Linked DNA regions of Saccharomyces cerevisiae S288C. The protein of the gene in region 1 interacts with the protein of each later gene in a biochemical or structural test. Each region holds a gene or a part of one and is shown on either strand. Other genes may lie near its edges.

Region 1 (3,124 bases):
TAACACGAAAGCAATAATGATATGAAATAAGCTCGGCACAATAAACGTTACTGAAAGTTTAGGATCCTTGTAAAGTAATCGTGGATGGGCGACATTGATTGCCCAGTCCATATTATTGTGTTATTGTTGCTTGTGTACGGCCGTATGTGGAGAGGATGAACGAGTATTTTGTTCTTAGCGCTGCTTGTCCTTTTTTCTTGAAGCTGTACTTTATAGCGCCTCTTTTCCTTATTGTGGTAACGGTGGCTTATTTGGTTTAAGAACAAGCGGTAAACATGTCTACGAATGAAAAGCTAGAGGGAACACGTAGAGTATATTTTATTTCTATTATATTGTAAGAAGAATCTATTTAGAGTAAGATATTTTTTCGGAAGGGTAAGAGGGACCAACTTCTTGAATAGACAAAGCAGCTAGCCATTGACCCATGTCAATAGAGGTTTCCAAATCTTCACCTTTAGTCAACCCAGCCATAAAGCCACCAGCGAAGGCGTCACCAGCACCGTTGGTGTCGACGATCTTAGAAGAGTCCAAAGGTTTGACTGGATATGTGCTGGTACCCTTGGAGGACACGACCACTGTTGGTTCGACACCGTGGGTGAAGATGACAGTCTTTTCAACTGGAGAGTCCTTGACAATTCTTTGAGCAATAGCTTCCAAATCAGTGTTGGCACAGTCTAATTGGAAGGCGTCGCAAAAGGCTTCGGCCTCCGATTCGTTAGCGATGATGACGGTAGCATAAGGCAAAACTCTGGCCAATGCGTCTTTGAAGACATGAGGAATGAAAGGAGCACTAAAGTTCAACACGAAAGGTTTGCTGTTCTCTTTAGCATGTTGGCCCAACTTAACGATAGCGTCTGGAGACACGGTCAAGTGGAAACCACCGATGTAGAAGAGCTTAGCTGCTTCGACCAAGTCCCAATGCTTGTCCAAGTGGTCTGGAGTAAAGAAATTGGCAGCACCCAAGTCAGTGACCAAGGACCGGTTATGGCCAGTGATTAATGCGGCACACTTACCGGTACCAATATCATTTTGAACTTGGTACATAGACTTGACACCAGCTTTTTCGTTTTCGTTAAGCAATCTCTCGCTGAACTTGTCCTTACCGACGGAACCGAAGTACACCACCTGGCCGGCGCCCAAAACGTATGCTGCCCCTCTAGCAGTGTTTTGAGCAGCACCACCTGCAACAAGCTTTGTTTCTGGCATCTGTAAGAGCTCGTCAAAAATAGCCATCTTAGCATCGCCTGATTTGGCATCGACCAAAATTGCGTCGTTTTCCTTTAGAGAATACTTGGCCAGGTATTCAGCCGTGACGTCGGCTTGGAAATCTAAAAGTGGGTTACCCAATACTACCAATGGTGCGGTCATAATTGCTTGCTCTTTCTTTTGCTGTTATCTTTGGTTCTACCCTGCACAAGATAAACTGAGATGACTACCTAATTAGACATGGCATGCCTATAAGTAAAGAGAATTGGGCTCGAAGAATAATTTTCAAGCCTGCCCTCATCACGTACGACGACACTGCGACTCATCCATGTGAAAATTATCGGCATCTGCAAAAAAAGTTTCAACTTCCACAGGTAATATTGGCATGATGCGAAATTGGACGTAAGTATCTCTGAAGTGCAGCCGATTGGGCGTGCGACTCACCCACTCAGGACATGATCTCAGTAGCGGGTTCGATAAGGCGATGACAGCGCAAATGCCGCTTACTGGAAGTACAGAACCCGCTCCCTTAGGGGCACCCACCCCAGCACGCCGGGGGGTTAAACCGGTGTGTCGGAATTAGTAAGCGGACATCCCTTCCGCTGGGCTCGCCATCGCAGATATATATATAAGAAGATGGTTTTGGGCAAATGTTTAGCTGTAACTATGTTGCGGAAAAACAGGCAAGAAAGCAATCGCGCAAACAAATAAAACATAATTAATTTATAATGGTTCAAGCAGTCGCAGTGTTAAAGGGTGATGCCGGTGTCTCTGGTGTTGTCAAGTTCGAACAGGCTTCCGAATCCGAGCCAACCACTGTCTCTTACGAGATCGCTGGTAACAGTCCTAACGCAGAACGTGGGTTCCACATTCATGAGTTTGGAGATGCCACCAATGGTTGTGTCTCTGCTGGTCCTCACTTCAATCCTTTCAAGAAGACACATGGTGCTCCAACTGACGAAGTCAGACATGTCGGTGACATGGGTAACGTAAAGACGGACGAAAATGGTGTGGCCAAGGGCTCCTTCAAGGACTCTTTGATCAAGCTTATCGGTCCTACCTCCGTTGTAGGCAGAAGCGTCGTTATCCACGCCGGCCAAGATGACTTAGGTAAGGGTGACACTGAAGAATCTTTGAAGACTGGTAATGCCGGTCCAAGACCAGCCTGTGGTGTCATTGGTCTAACCAACTAATGTTAATGATAATATACTTGAATAAAAACCGTATGTAAGTAAGTAGTAAGCGCATCAATTCATTCATTTTCATTTCCCTCGCTTAGATTTATGTCCTTGATCACTTCACCAAGTGTGCCGGAGGCTGCGGCCACAAGCCCCCAAAACGGTCTTGATGGTTCCAGCACCTTCGATGTATACTCTGGATGGTATTGAGTGCCCACGTAGTATGGATGGCCTTTCAATTCGAATATTTCGCAACGCTGGCCCGTCTCGTCCTTACCAACAAAAATAAAGCCACGAGACTCCATATCATTCACTATTTTCGGGTTTATCTCATAGCGATGACGATGTCTCTCATGCACCTCATTAACTTCACCATAAAGCTTCCTTATGTTGCTCCATTCTGAGTTCGGTTGGAAAATGGTAGGCCTCAAACCCAATCTCATCGTGCCACCCATGTGTTCCTTGTCGATCTCGGGCATGTATATGACTACTTGGTCTTCAGGAGCTAGTAGTGTCTCGTCCAAAAATTCTGTAGAACTGCTGTTTGGGCGGCCTATCACATTGCGGGCGAACTCGATAGCGGCAACTTGTAATCCAAGACAGACACCAAGAAAGGGAACACCGGATTCACGGGCCCATTTGGCAGCAAGAATCATACCTTCAATACCTCTCGTGCCAAATCCACCAGGAACCAAAATTCCGTCGGCGGAACTGAGCTTATTCCATGAATCGTGGAACTT
Region 2 (3,202 bases), on another chromosome or scaffold:
TTATTTGGTCAGTTGAAAGAATTTGAAAAAAAACCTGAGGGTTCGATCCCAGAAAAGTTAATTAACGCTGTAAAAGATAGGGTCCATCAAATCGAAGAAGTTCTTGCCAAACCAGTTATTGACGATGAAGATTATAAGAAGTTGCATACAGCAAATATGGTACGTAAATGCTCTAAATCTAAGCAGATTTTAATATCAAGACCTCCACCATTATTATCCATTCATATCAACAGATCCGTATTTGATCCAAGAACGTACATGATTAGAAAAAATAACTCGAAAGTATTGTTTAAGTCAAGGTTGAATCTTGCCCCATGGTGTTGTGATATTAATGAAATCAATTTGGATGCTCGTTTGCCAATGTCAAAAAAGGAAAAAGCTGCGCAACAAGATTCAAGTGAAGATGAAAACATTGGCGGTGAATACTATACGAAATTACATGAACGCTTCGAGCAGGAATTTGAAGACAGCGAGGAAGAAAAAGAATACGATGACGCAGAGGGGAACTATGCGTCTCATTACAATCATACCAAGGATATCAGTAACTATGATCCCCTAAACGGTGAAGTCGATGGCGTGACATCCGATGATGAAGATGAGTACATTGAAGAAACCGATGCTTTAGGGAATACAATCAAAAAAAGGATCATAGAACATTCTGATGTTGAAAACGAGAATGTAAAAGATAATGAAGAACTGCAAGAAATCGACAATGTGAGCCTTGACGAACCAAAGATCAATGTTGAAGATCAACTAGAAACATCATCTGATGAGGAAGATGTTATACCAGCTCCACCTATCAATTATGCTAGGTCATTTTCCACAGTTCCAGCCACTCCATTGACATATTCATTGCGCTCTGTCATTGTTCACTACGGTACCCATAATTATGGTCATTACATTGCATTTAGAAAATACAGGGGTTGTTGGTGGAGAATATCTGATGAGACTGTGTACGTTGTGGACGAAGCTGAAGTCCTTTCAACACCCGGTGTATTTATGTTATTTTACGAATATGACTTTGATGAAGAAACTGGGAAGATGAAGGATGATTTGGAAGCTATTCAGAGTAATAATGAAGAAGATGATGAAAAAGAGCAGGAGCAAAAAGGAGTCCAGGAGCCAAAGGAAAGCCAAGAGCAAGGAGAAGGTGAAGAGCAAGAGGAAGGTCAAGAGCAGATGAAGTTCGAGAGAACAGAAGACCATAGAGATATTTCTGGTAAAGATGTAAACTAAGTTATAAATACGATATCCGTAATTGTGTAAATAACAATAACTATAATTAAATTGAATAATTAAAAGTCTACGTTATTCGTTAAATCAATTGTTTAGCTAGTTACGAATGTCTAAAGTTTTTGTAGGACAATTGCAAAAATCACTTCCATTATTATACAAATCCTTCGTAAGCTTCATTTTTCTTACCATTGTACTTCTTCAACTTTTTCTCTTCTTCTCTCCGTTCATCTAGTTCATCTTCGTTAATTAGGTCATCAATATCGAAATCGAAATCATTTGGATCTTTGTTGTACTGTCCAATTACACGTCTTTTAAGGCCTGTCTTTGAGTCTATTTCAAATTTTCTGGAAGCGGAAGAGGCACTTGCACTGTCATGGCCAAGGCTTTCCTCCGTGTCCTTCAGATCAAACTTTAATACATTGGTATGATCAAGTTTTTTTTTCAAATATTCCCTCTTACCAAGCTTACCAGTCGCTGACTGTGCTGTTGCAGACGATTTCGGTTTTGTTAGTTTGAATGTACCGATGCCAGAAAACAATGGCAACAATGCAATGAAAGCAATCACAATAATGAGAAGTAAAAAATAACCGTATAGATTCATGCTCCGGACTTATTGACTTAGGCACCGAGAACTTTAAGGGAATTCGTCCTTTTCTTTTACTAAACGTAGATCATGGGTGCTTGATTTAGAGATACAACTCATCGCACTTGACAAATTTCAAAAAACCGTATTCAGTGATCATATTTGAAAAGTCACGTTTCTTACAATGTCCACATAGCCCTATAGGATATGAGGGATTAGTAACCGTAAATGATCTCTTTGAATCGCATTTTTAATTGAAAGCAACCTCGCTTGAAGACACTTACAAATCGTTACGTACTACTGAATACCAGAAAGATAGTATTTCAAAAAAAACTAAGCGAGAAGATAGAGTGTAGCAATGATTAAGCGGTCTCTCGCAAGTTTAGTTCGAGTCAGCTCTGTAATGGGCAGAAGATATATGATAGCAGCGGCAGGAGGAGAACGTGCCAGATTTTGTCCAGCTGTAACAAATAAAAAGAATCATACTGTAAATACTTTTCAGAAGAGATTTGTAGAATCCTCGACAGATGGTCAAGTTGTGCCTCAAGAAGTGTTAAACTTACCGCTTGAAAAATACCATGAAGAGGCAGATGACTACCTAGACCATTTACTAGATAGCTTAGAAGAACTGAGTGAGGCTCATCCGGATTGTATACCTGATGTAGAGCTAAGCCATGGCGTAATGACATTGGAAATTCCAGCTTTTGGAACGTATGTAATAAACAAACAGCCTCCAAATAAGCAAATTTGGTTGGCATCACCATTGTCCGGGCCTAACAGATTTGACCTTCTCAATGGGGAGTGGGTTTCGTTAAGAAATGGCACAAAGCTAACAGATATACTTACTGAAGAAGTTGAGAAGGCCATTTCTAAAAGCCAATAAGTGCACTTATCCATCGACTCTCTTATATTTATTTAAACACTTGTAACGCATCCAATCTATTTCATAGTTAGAGTCTCTCTTCCTTGTTATTGATATGATTTTTCTTTTGTACCGTGTGTGTATGTATGTATGTATGAACGTACTACTAAGCTTCAACGTCACTCTATAAAGAAACTAAAAAGACACGTATTTATACCTTTTTTGAAGAATGCGAGATTGCAATGAAATATGTGTCTATTTTTTACATGAATCTTTTGACCAACTCCTCATATATACCCCACGCAATACCTGCACTGAAGGCCTTTCTTGCCAGCCTCATGCTTAACCCGCTAAATAACTTCAGCACATTTTCATTTTTAACTATAGATGTAAATGTATTGAAGGAGTTGGTAAATTTTGATGGTTCCAATTGCATTCTCGTTTTTATGGTGTCGAACGGTGCCGTTACTGTGGTGGCTAAACTGGCGGATAGTACGGCGCTTGTTGTATTTACTGTTGTA

What was found.
Region 2: the proteins of SOD1 (region 1) and YFH1 form a complex in vitro, tested with the Saccharomyces cerevisiae proteins (one study listed by BioGRID).

The regions. Positions count from the first base shown.
Region 1 is NC_001142.9:621,825-624,948, reverse strand, and holds SOD1 (superoxide dismutase SOD1), read left to right. Parts: upstream 1-1,934; coding exon 1,935-2,399; downstream 2,400-3,124. Other genes in the region: ECM27 (Ecm27p), read right to left, coding at 1-111; ADO1 (adenosine kinase), read right to left, coding at 346-1,368; CTP synthase URA8, read right to left, coding at 2,459-3,124. UniProt on the Saccharomyces cerevisiae protein: Destroys radicals which are normally produced within the cells and which are toxic to biological systems.
Region 2 is NC_001136.10:243,746-246,947, forward strand, and holds YFH1 (ferroxidase), read left to right. Parts: upstream 1-2,177; coding exon 2,178-2,702; downstream 2,703-3,202. Other genes in the region: ubiquitin-specific protease UBP1, read left to right, coding at 1-1,236; EXP1 (Exp1p), read right to left, coding at 1,388-1,837; HEM25 (Hem25p), read right to left, coding at 2,944-3,202. UniProt on the Saccharomyces cerevisiae protein: Promotes the biosynthesis of heme as well as the assembly and repair of iron-sulfur clusters by delivering Fe(2+) to proteins involved in these pathways.